Arabidopsis thaliana: one gene and its partner. The protein of the gene in region 1 interacts with the protein of each later gene in a pairwise test. Each region holds a gene or a part of one and is shown on either strand. Other genes may lie near its edges.

Region 1 (7,272 bases):
TTAACCTAAAATAATACATGAGAACCTCCAAAAGTCTTGCATTCATATGTTCATAAAAATTGTAATTGTTTATTGAGAAAATGTTACATAGCTGATGTACAAAACCGCGTTTTCACAGCAATCAAGAAGTCGTCAAAGTTTTGACTTCAGATTTATTTATTCACTAAAAGTTTGATTTCGTCTGCTTCAGTTTTATATATACACAACTGGTCGACATGAGAGGGAGAAGAACAATGAAAATGAAGAAAACAACAAGACAAGCTTTTCTTCTCCTATGTTTGCTTCATATATTTCTATGTCTCTCTTTTCATGTTCGTGTCCACCAAGGTCAGTCTCTTCTTATTTTTAAGTAACGTTTTGAATCGTTGCACTTGACGCTTAATCGTCCCAAATATAAAATGGTGTAGTTTACAAACTGATTAGTTCGTATTTTCTTACATGTTACATCCATTTACAACCAACAAGTTAATCTTCTAAATTTTTTTTTTAATGTGTGTGCAACTACAAAGGTAAACCTGAGATATGCGTAAGACCCTCCCCACCATGTGGAGATTCTCCAAAGGGAGGAGGTGAAGATACGCCGGGACATAACTATAAAAAGCCTTGCAAACCCATTCCAAGACCACCTCCTCCTCGAGATTGCTAGCAGCTTTGAATTTTCAACACAAGTCCTTAATGTTTTTTTAGTAACAATATCATCGAGACTAATTTATTTGCACGATGTGCAATAATATCGTTTAATTATACCTTTTTTCTTTCTTTCTTTCGAAATTTATGTGTAATTTGTGGTAAAAATAATAATTTGTGCACCCGTATGTTTGATTTAAATAACCAAAACCATTTACAATGTCTCATCATAGGATATATTTGTCTTAGATGTTGTTTTTCTATCCATTTATCCAAAGGCAAAATCTGGAAACAGAGTGACAGAGACTAAGATTTATCATCTGTCAAGTAACATTATTTTTGTAATATAGTAAAATAATTTCTAACAACCTATTATAGAATATCACCATAGAGGCAATTTACATAGCCGCACCAAACATTCTTTCTCCTTACATTCAACAATATCATGTAGAGTGATCAAAGTGGGTCTAGAGGCGAGGATAGCGAGAGCGCCCTTTCTTCTTTAAGAACTCTGGGATCTCTATGGAGCTGCCTTCAGTGAATGATGATGAAGGACGTCTTGTGGCTCCCATTGATGCATCCGCTTGTGTCGCCTGTATTTTCATGTAGCAATAAGAGAGATTACAACCGAAGACTTTTAACATTTGATGTAAGAATCGGCTATGTTGTGTGTGTGTGTCAAGGGAGACAAGTGAATACCTGAAGTGGCCTCCCTTCTCCTTCTTCTTGGCGTTTGAAGCCAGTTGCTATCAGGGTAATACTTATCTGACAGGAAGAAAAAAAGTTTAAGCAATTTGGGTATCTCATAGGTTATATGTTAGAAGAAAATCCAAGAAAGAAGAATACTTACTTGACCACTATAAGATGGATCTACCACAGCACCAAATATAAGATTCGCTGTTGGATCAACGAGGTCGTAAATCACTTCTGCAGCAGCATTTACCTACAAATCGTTTCCCGAGAGTCAAAATAGAGACACACAACGTTATATATGACATGGGACTGAAGTTCTTTTATGAATTGTCTAGGGAAGAAACCAAGTGATTTCTAGGACAGGAAATGGTCTGAAAGCGTAGAGAGGGAAAAAAAACCTCGAACAGTGTTAAGTCACTTCCACCGGTTATGTTCCAAACTATTCCAGTGGCTCTCTCAATGCCAATATCTAATAAAGGGGATTGGATTGCGTTTAATGCAGCATCTCTTGCTCGGGTCTTTCCTGCTCAAATAACAGTATAGCTTGAAAGATTAAGCATGATGATGCAGCCAAAACATAGCACCAAAATAGTTCAAGTTTAGGATTTTCCTCAATATACCAACTTGCAGTGGACCAAACATTATTCCTTTGTCATGGTTAAAGAGTACTAAATCTATAGTCAAATTAATCTACTCAGCTACATCTGTAGTACCAATTCTCAGTAAATTGAAAACTTAGCATTTTAGCTAACAAACATATGCATAAAGCGTCGCCTATATTGGTCACAGGGTTCTTTAACCTGCCTTCTAAACCAATATTCCCCTTCGACATACGTAATGATGCAGCAGATAGAGCCTATCAATAAAATAGTTCAATTCCAAAGAACACTCTACTCTTACCTGTTGCAGTTCCTATTCCCATCAATGAAGAACCTGCATTTGCCATTATCGCCCTCACATCAGCAAAATCCACATTGACCAATCCAGGAATCTGCAATGCAAACACAACGATATTGCAGTCAGACATTTTCTATAAACATGGATGTCATAGCTTAGAGAATAAATACTTTCAAAGCCATACCGTAATAATATCAGATATTCCACGGACACCTTGACGAAGTATATCATCTGCCAGATTAAATGCTTCTGTAACTGGAGTAGACTGAGAGACTGCTGCTAGTAACTTGTCGTTTGGAATAACAATGAGGGTGTCAACATTATCTCTGAGGGCTGCAATCCCTTCCTGAGCCTGGAGTGCTCTTCTCCGTCCCTCAAATGAGAAAGGCGTTGTCACAATACCAACCGTTAATATACCCATCGCTTTTGCAACCCCTGCAATTATAGGAGCACCACCTGTGCCAGTTCCACCACCCATTCCAGCCTAGAAAAATAACAAGACATTTGGCTAGAAAAGCTTAGGCACTGAACTTAAAGATCTAATCTTACAGTCAATCTATGGAGGCAGCAAATTCACACAATAACCCATAACTGGTTGTACTTTAAACAGGAAAGTATTCTATGATCGAAGACATAAACCTCACTGCTTTAACCAGATGGAGATAAAAGAGAAACTGGTAAACACAAAGAGAAACTGCAACCCACCAAAATTCAATAAAACCAACATGATATTGCAAACGGCGATTCTGACCCGTAAAACTTCTCATTTGTAATCTATATCTTTATATAGAAATAAGTATAAATAAAAGTTTGTTACTAAGAAAAAGTGAAAGTAATAGTTATAGACATACTGTGACAAAGACCATATCTGAACCATAAAGTGCTTCTTGAATAGCTTCTTTGCTTTCTGTAGCAGCATTCATCCCAATCTCTGGATTACCTCCAGCACCTAAACCCCTAGTCAACTCCTTACCAATTTGTAACCTATTGTCTGGAAAAACCGGAGATATTCTCATTGCTTGGATATCGGTATTCACAATCCAAAACTCCACACCAATCATCTCACTCTCAATCATACGATTCACAGCGTTTGAACCACCACCTCCAACGCCGATAACTTTAATCCTAGCCTCATTGTAAGTGTTTGGAGTAGATAACTCATCCAAATCCTCAGTAATGGGAACACTGGAAGTTTCTTTTCTTGGGTTGAGCATGGATATCTCAGGGTGGAGATTCAAGAAAGAGTCTTGGCTTTGGAAATGGCTTGTACTATGAGAATTCAAAGAGTTTCTGATTGACGAAGACTCGTACTTATGAGAAGCAACAACACGATATCTTTTAGTAGTACCTTCACTCATTCTTAAGCAACCAACCCTCGTGCCTAGATGATGATCAGGTAACACACTCTTTCTAAGAACAGTGAGTACCCGAGAATCCGGAGGAGTTAAACAGGGAGAAACATAAGCTGCCATTCTGAGACTACAGAAGCAACCAAAGATCTATTAAAAACTCCAATTTCACTGCTTCAAGAGAAAGAACAAGAGGTCAACGTCAAGTCCTGAACCAAGAAGAAGATTAAAAAAAAAAAAAAGTGGCACTCACATTCTACAGTACTATAATTGGAAACCAGTTGCATATCAGCAGCATATGGATCAAGTTCAACACTAGAAGCTAAGATACTACAAAGAAAAGTCAATGCTTTAATTAATAAATTTCCGAGGAGTATCAATTTGAATCAGAAAACTACAATTGGCACATCGTACTGTTCTAAAGTAACGAAATTGAAGATGGGGAATTCCAGAAATTTGTAAAACAGTAGACGAATACAAAAAGCTAAGACATTTCGACGATTGAGTACAGAATTTCCAGAGGGAGCAGTTTTAGAGATTGTAGCAGAAGTACATTAACATGTAAAAGACGAAGAGTACCTTACGAGTAGTGGCAGCAGAGAATTCGAGCTACAAAGAAAAAAAAATGGGAACCAATGAAAATGGAAGGTTTTGGTGTTTTCTGGGCTTAGAATCTCTTTCTCGATCACATAAAAGTGGATTATGATTTTGATTTTGCTCCTAATTTTTATCTGTTTCAGTAACAACTACAGCTACTAAATTCATCTGTTAAATAAGTTGGTGAAAGAGACAAAGCGTTAGCCGACGAGAGTGATGAAGAAAATTAAATGTTTAATATAAATGGGCCTATAATGTTGGTCTTAAAGCCCATACAACGAATTCTGGGCTTTAGCCGGATAATAAGCATACGAAAAATTTGCACAATTTTATGAGTCTTTTGCTTGCTCATGTAGAACAGTGAAGTCCATGGAACCATGAATGATGATGAACGTAAACAAGCCACAATTCTATAATTCAGATTGTTTGTTTGCGTTTAGATTTGTTTCGAACGCATCAATTGTGATTGAGACAATCGAAGTATGATAGTTTCGCTATCTTATGCAATGCCATTGCCAGGCCAAAGCTCGTCATGTGTATCTTCTGATCAACTACTTTCTCGCTTATAGAACAATTTCAAGCTAAACCATTCACACTTCTCCCCAGTCACTTATTTATCATTGGTAGTTGAAGCAACCTAAGATCTTTAATCAAAACATCTTAGTGACTCGCTTCTACGTTCGGAAAATCTACACTACAACTGCAACACATGTACGCTAAAAATGAGCAATTGATACTCTCACCAAATCTAATTCAAAGAACAGTTCATGTCAAGAAACTGTCAAACAGAACCACAAAAGGATGTATATGGCATAAACGTTTCGAGATTTCCAATAGTAAGAGATCTTAGAACATCATCTTCAATTACTTAAACCACATCAATAACAACTTCCTCTAAAGTTATCAAAAACCTTTACAATGTCTCAGCTATTTCACCACAAACACTTATAAGATATCACATTAAGCTACTCAGTAATGGCACCGGAAAGTTCAACAATCTATCAATATTCGAAAGCAAGGAATCAAAAGATAACGAGAAGCGAAAACAGAGTATAGATTAAGAAACAGGCGTACGAAATCAATCCACGGTGCTCTTCTCCTCCATCAGCAAGAGACACCACCAGATTAGAACAAGCTCTAGTAGCCCACAACACGAAAGCCGCACCGAGCACAAACCGAACGGGACCAGCACCTTGTGGCACAAACAAGGACACCGCGGACAAAATCACAACGGGAAGCAGAGAGTAACCAACTAAACTCGTACAAGTATGAAGATTAAGATTCCCATTTCTACCAGCAAGCATATTGAAGACAATGTACAAGAAGATAGAAGAAACAACAACCCAACCAAGTATAACACCAAACTGTATCTTCCCAGCGAGCAATTGAAATAAGCAAAGCGCAAGGTATAAGAAGATCGGACCAGAGAGATCTGAATCTTTGTGAACAGTCTGATTGATTCGAAAAGGATTGAGAATCGATCTAGTTTTCTTCCAGATTTGATCTGGATGGATACCGAGTTCGTCGAGTAAAGGCTCCTCATCCTCAAACGAAGCAGAGACTCCTCTACCGAAAGATGCAGATGAAGCGATTGTTCCGTCGAATGGTCCCGCCGGCATTGAAACGGCGGCGGATCCGATTTCAAATGGAATGAAAGGGATTGAAGATGAAGCGGAGGATTGACGTGGTGGTTGGTAAGGAGCTGTGGGAACTCGGCGTTGCTGAACATTTGCGGTGGCCGGAGATGATCCACTGGTGGGGAAAACAACCGGTGGAATTGGAAAATCCTTCGTCATCCTCTAGAATCCCTAATTCAGATCTCGAATTTGAAGTTAGTGTTTTCTCTCAATCGGATTTGATTTCAGAAATTGAAAATAATTCCAGTAACAGGCGACTACTACGCATTCTTCGTGTTCGTATCTTCGTGATATGTGATAAGGGCATTTTCGGTAAGTGAATTAATAATGTTTTGGGCCGTATAAGGCTTTATCAGCCCATTAGTTTGTAGTTTTGAACAGCCTTTGCTACACAAACAAGTCAATAGCCCCACTTGTGAGTTGTGAATAGTTTTCACTACTGACTAATTATCGTAATTTTATAAGTTATTAGGCTCACTGAACAACAAAGTCGTTGTAGTATAGTGGTAAGTATTCCCGCCTGTCACGCGGGTGACCCGGGTTCGATCCCCGGCAACGGCGATTTTTTATTTTTTAAACCTATAGTAGTGTCCTTACCATTTTTTGAAAGTCATTTAGAATTTGTATAAATTGTAAGAGCAATGATCAATACGTAAGTCATTTAGAATTTGTATAAATTGTAAGAGCAATGATCAATACGTAGATTTATTCAAAGTTGCCTTTCTGATGTTCATGATACTTCTTTTTCTATCAATCTTAGCTTTCTTAATTTGCAATAACTGAAACATTCGTTTGCTCAATAGTATAAAGAAAGAAAAACACACACAGTTCAATCAACATTTTCTCCTATAATCTTGAAAGTATTATGTTATTCAGAATAACTTATTCTGTTATTATTATTCTTTTGGTGTTATCTTGATTTCTACGAAAACTCACAGATGTTCTTGATTTTATATTGCAGAGTTGTAATATTACTTCCAAGAGATAAGATTATATGAAGAGCAACTGCAGAATATAATTTGCATAAGTTGAGAGTCAAAGATATTGTAACATCGTAACTCAAACCTATAACATATTGACCGATATCAAGATCTAGGTCTCATAAATAAGAAGTGAGGAAATATAATGATTGTGAAAATTGAAAACCAGAGGTCCATAATTAATTCTGACGTCAGATGATGATGCCTTGCATGGTCTTCCAAAGAGATTTGGAGTAATCATAAATCGGACATCTCTAAAACTGAGATTTCAAAGTTGACTTCGAGTTTGCCTTGTTTTATGATATATGATGATTATTCATTTCGGCCAATTATATCATGATTGTTCTTCTTCGCCTCAAATTTTATTTTTCACACAAACACTTGAGTTCGATGCGACATCTTCCTTGTTTTTCTAGTCTATTTTTGTCGAACACATTTTGATATGCAAGAACATACCAAATGTTACTATTGATATTGCATCCGTATTTGCGA
Region 2 (5,165 bases), 9.2 Mb from region 1:
TTACAGTTTATAATTGTTACCGCAGTTTTTAAGTTAAAGTTTTATATTTTATTGTTTAATTTTATATATAGTAACATTATACATACCATATAACAATTTTGGTTTTATATAATTTTTTCTAAATTAGGATGATTTGATATGTTTAATATTAGTGGTCTTAAAAAATAATAAATTAAAGATTTAACTCGTACTGAAATGGTGGATTAATTATATTTTACTTTTTTATTAATGTTGATTCAAAAACCCGTCCCTCCAAATCCGTCTTGCCAAAAAGCCATTTATTTGATTAATATTAATTTTATTTATGATATGACTCTGAATTATAATCTAAACATTTTAGCTAATAACATATGAGTGCACCATATTTATTTAATAGAGAATGTACCATATGACCCGAATGCACTTTTACCCAAATCTACCAAAAAAGTCTTGCAAAAATACTATAGAGATAAGAAACGATAGTCGGTTTTGATAGGTATAAGATTAGAAAATATATTAGTTAGCTTAAATTAGTTAAAGAATACAAATTGAAAAGGTATATTACACTTTATTCGAATATACTATCAAAACTTATATAACACAGAGATTTGATAATTTTTTAATGGTTGAATACTTTTTTTTTGTGCTAATTTTTATGTGATTAAGATTTAGTTGATTTCGTATATAAAATATGAAATTCTTTTACGAACTTATTTGTTTATAATTTGCTAACAGATAGATATTTGAATATTCAGTATATTTTGCTAACCCGTCTGTAGATCCAATAAACCCTATAATTAAGAGATTAATATTGTCGTTAAATGATTTTGGTAACCTTAATGACGTCATTAAAGGATTTTTTTTATTAAACTTTTCTAATGGCATTGTCATGTAATTAATTACAAAAGTTAAGGTTACATTTAAAATGTACTTCCTAAATAATATAGTAGGATACCTAAAGTTATCATAATGAAAATAAACTAATAGAAAAAATTGAATCTAAATCCTATAATCATCACTAATTAAATCCACCCCATCCCATATCATGATTATTAAAAATTTCATATATATAAAATAAAACCATAACTTAAATGTAATAAAATATCCTAGATTAAATAAGAAAAGAATCCAATTTTATTTACAAAGTAAAAAACTCATCATATTTCTCTCTCTATATATACAGATATATATATATATATATTAATAAGGGTTTTGAGTAATATTGTGTTCCATTAGCAAATATTAGAAAAATAAACAATACAAAAACCAAAAATGGCTTCATCAAGCAAATGCGCCTTCCTTGTGTTCTTATGCATGATTGTTCTTCTCGCCCCAAGTATGCCAAAAAAACGTTTATATTTTTTTTCTGTTTAATTCAATTTATTCATATATACTGAAGTATAACCAAAGTAGCAAGATTCATGAGTTAACACTCAACACTAACTAGCAAACCGAATACTTATTTTATATCAGACATTAGATCATATCTCCATACATATTGTATACACTATTATTTTCACAATACATTGTGATTCACAATACATTGTGATATTAACTTGTTATCACAAAAAATAAAATAAAATACATAGTGATATTGCGTTGTTACCAGCTGCAAGAGATTCTTGTCGAGTGAATTTTCTTTTTCTTTTGCCTTTATGTCTAAACGAGTAACGACTTTTTTTCTAATATTACAACAATCTTTGGAAAACGATAGGTGAAGTACACGCAAAATCTATGGCCAAAGCTCAAGGAGGGTGGTACCTTGTGGAAGGTCTATGCTCAAAATTTCCGGACTGCAATAAGCACTGCAAAGAACAAGGTTTCTTAGGTGGACAATGCCTCAAACTTGGTGTTAATATGCTGTGTTTTTGTATTCATACATGATCTCGTTTATAATATATCCTAAATATTTCATGAGTGTTACAATACTAAGTAAAAAAATGTAGCAGTGACATTTGTGCTTATTATTTTTAACTCTGTTTCATGTTAAGCAACTACGAGTGATTTGCCTCATTTAGGCATTTCAACAAACATGTTATGTGCAGCTACCAAAAAGCTCACATCAATGGCGAAATCAGCTAATGGGAAACCAAATGTGATTCAAATTACAACAATTTCTCAACAATTCCAGACGCAAACTATACTAAACAACACAAAAGACCAATCAAATTCCAGAAAAGATAACAACTTCTTTTTTTTTTTTTATAAAAACCTTAAGCAATGGAGACTTTAGCACCAGCTTCTTCAAGAGTCTTCTTAGCTTCTTCAGCTTCATCTTTAGTGATACCTTCTTTAAACTTCTTTGGTAATCCTTCGATTAGCTCCTTAGCTTCCTTCAACGCCAAGCTAGTCAAAGCCCTAACAGCTTTAATTACTGCAATACGAGAACTACTCGGAACTTCATTGATAACCACATCGAACTCTGTTTGCTCCTCCACTACAGCCGCCGCGCCACCGTCGGCTGGAGCAGCAACCGCCGCTGCTGCGGGGGCTAAAGAGAGTGGGGAGACACCGAATTTGTCTTGGAGATAGTCGACGAGGATACGAGCTTCTTCGAGGGTTAGGGATGAGATTTCGGATCCGATCTTCTCGATTTTCTCCGGAGCTTCGACGGCGGCGATTGGACGGAGATGGGTTGCACGGTGGGTCAATGTGGATGATGAACCACCACCGAAGCGAGAGGGGAATTCGATGGTGGTGGTTCGGGAAGGGAAGTGATTGATGGAAGCGAGAGTAGGATAAGATGAGGAACGGATTGTTGTTGCGATTGAGAGAGTCGTCGACGCCATTTTTGTTTCACTCTTTGGCTTTTCTTCTGAGTTTTTCTTCTCTCTGTGTGTTTTGATTGGATTGTGTGTGAGGAAGATGAAAGATGAGAGGATAGAAAAATGATGGATAAGGGGTATTTTGGGGAATAGAATATTGCGTACGTTTGCTATCATGCGCATATACAAATAGATGAGGTTGTATCGTTTGTATGTTTACGAAAATACCCGTGAGGCCTGACGTTGAGGAGTTAAAAAAATAAAAAGGGGCGTTCCGAGAATCGAACTCGGGACCTCTCGCACCCAAAGCGAGAATCATACCACTAGACCAAACGCCCTTGTTGTTCTAATCACATTTAGTTTGTTTATTAATTATGATTTCTGTCATAACAATTAAATAAGTGTGCAAAATTATTTGTTAGCTAGCTCCTCATTGCTATTTTTCTAATTTTATGGGTATTGCCGTATTGCCGAATTAACTCTACCAATAATCACAAGATTATGAACACTAACAAGTAACAAAGGGCTTCAAAGACGTTGAATCAAAGTTTGTAGTGGAAACGTTTATGCATTTTAAAAGAAGCATATAATAATCGTATACCAATGTAATCACATTGAGTAGTTTGGACTCTCCCTTCTATATTTCTCCCACCAATGCTACAAACAACAGCAAGTTCCATTTCCAATGAATCCAACACTTGAAGAGTTTTTTTTTTCCTCACCATCTACGGCGTCTCCTCCCATACCAAAACGCGAACGCAGCCACAGATGCAGCCACAACGACTCCAGTAGCTGCGTGCCATACATACAAAGGCTTCTTTATCATGACCACACTTGCAGATTGCTTCACCATCTCAGCGCTCGGAATATCCTTAACTTCAGGAACTTTCTGCTGACTCACAACCGTGTGAGCAAACCCGAGTCCTTCTCTTTCCAATTCTTCCAAATCAATAGTCACAGCTGGTTTCAATTGTGTCGCCTTTGAGATAGTTTCATATTCTTCTTTAGTGCCTCCTTCAAGAAAAGATCCAACAAGGTGACCCTTTTTAACCCAATACGCTCCAAATGATTTCCCGTCTTCATACTCTCCAAAGTGCACAACATCACCTGTAGGGTCTCCATAGAATTGCCATGAGAATGCGAAGACCCTTGAGTAGAAAAATGGTAAGTAATCAAAGTCTCCGGTCTTTATTGGATCCATGATGGCTGAAACTGCGTGTCGCGCAGATTTCCTAGCTGAGTCCACGTGCTCAAGCCTCCTCATTTCGCCAAATAGTTTCACTGGAAATGTAGCTACATCGCCTATTGCATACACTGAGCTGTCACTTGACTGCATTCTGCTGTTCACTTTTATCCCTCCTTTCTCTATTGTTAACTGTCCTTCAAACAAGCTTGTGTTTGGTCGTATCCCGATACCAACCACAACCAAGTCGGCTGGTAAGTGGCTCCCGTCTTTGAGATTAACTGCAGTAACCTGTAAATCGAAAACCAAAAAACCTCATATCAATAAACAAATACATTGAACAAGGCTCAAGATTTCATAGTTTGAGTACTGGACCAGAAGTATCTGTGGTTCTACTGATTCTTGCCATCCTTAGTTGTATACATAGATGCAACGTACCAGACATTTTTCGAGTTGAATCTCAAGCTAAAAGAAACGATCTTACCTTTTTGTTCGAGTCAAACTCAAATGATGTCAAAACCGTTCCTTTTATAAATTTTACGCCTTTAGCCCTGTAGTAGTCTTCATACAAACTTGCAATCTTGGGCGTAAAGAGACGTGCCACTGTCATAAGAAACTAAAAAGGTCAAGCTAAATACACAACCTTTCTCTCGTACACGTAAGTTTAGTAATAATCGAGAGAACTTACTGCAGTGAGCCTCTGGGAAAACCATCGTCACATTGATTTTGTTGATCACTAAAGATGCAGCACACTCCATACCGATATAGCCACCGCCGATAACAACCGCATTCCCGTTGGAGCTTGATTGAATCACAGTGGCAAGCCTATTTGCATCAGCTAGATCTCGTAAGTAACAAACATTTTCAGCATCTGAGCCTTCCACCCCAAATTCTTCAAGCTTCAACGCCTAGTTGCACGAGCCAAATGTGACAAGAATAAGGCCACAACTTTAGCAGTTTAATGTTCTATGTTTTAAAATAGCACAAATTCCTTTGGCAATTTTCAGGAGTGAGCAGATTTGCCTACAACAATGTTCACAACATCTACTAGACATTCAACTATTACAAAAACCCATTGTCTTCAGCCAATTAATTACAAAATCATAAAGAGGATAATACGTTGTTAAAAACCAGTGATTTATCGTTTATGCTAATAGTCACCGGAACACACTCTTACTTTGGATAAACGAAAACATAAATATTATTGTGCAAGCCATACCCGGGCACCTGTTGCAATG

Evidence for each region. The genes of interacting proteins can lie anywhere in the genome.
Region 2: the proteins of FTSZ2-2 (region 1) and RPL12-A interact in a protein complementation assay, tested with the Arabidopsis thaliana proteins (one study listed by BioGRID).

The regions. Positions count from the first base shown.
Region 1 is NC_003074.8:19,548,747-19,556,018, forward strand, and holds FTSZ2-2 (Tubulin/FtsZ family protein), read right to left. Parts: upstream 4,356-7,272; 5' UTR 4,146-4,355; intron 4,127-4,145; exon of another isoform or gene 3,820-4,126; intron 3,738-3,819; 5' UTR 3,690-3,737; coding exon 3,069-3,689; intron 2,702-3,068; coding exon 2,402-2,701; intron 2,312-2,401; coding exon 2,221-2,311; coding exon of another isoform or gene 2,180-2,220; exon of another isoform or gene 1,885-2,179; intron 1,844-1,884; coding exon 1,719-1,843; intron 1,571-1,718; coding exon 1,478-1,570; intron 1,393-1,477; coding exon 1,327-1,392; intron 1,221-1,326; coding exon 1,095-1,220; 3' UTR 915-1,094; downstream 1-914. Other genes in the region: AT3G52760 (Integral membrane Yip1 family protein), read right to left, coding at 5,186-5,959. UniProt on the Arabidopsis thaliana protein: Exhibits GTPase activity. Component of the plastid division machinery that forms a contractile ring at the division site.
Region 2 is NC_003074.8:10,316,179-10,321,343, reverse strand, and holds RPL12-A (ribosomal protein L12-A), read right to left. Parts: upstream 2,840-5,165; 5' UTR 2,769-2,839; coding exon 2,193-2,768; 3' UTR 2,192-2,192; exon of another isoform or gene 1,912-2,191; intron 1,864-1,911; coding exon of another isoform or gene 1,694-1,863; 3' UTR 1,424-1,693; downstream 1-1,423. Other genes in the region: AT3G27831 (Gamma-thionin family protein), read left to right, coding at 1,252-1,315, 1,694-1,863; MDAR4 (monodehydroascorbate reductase 4), read right to left, coding at 3,463-4,218, 4,412-4,530, 4,616-4,835, 5,147-5,165.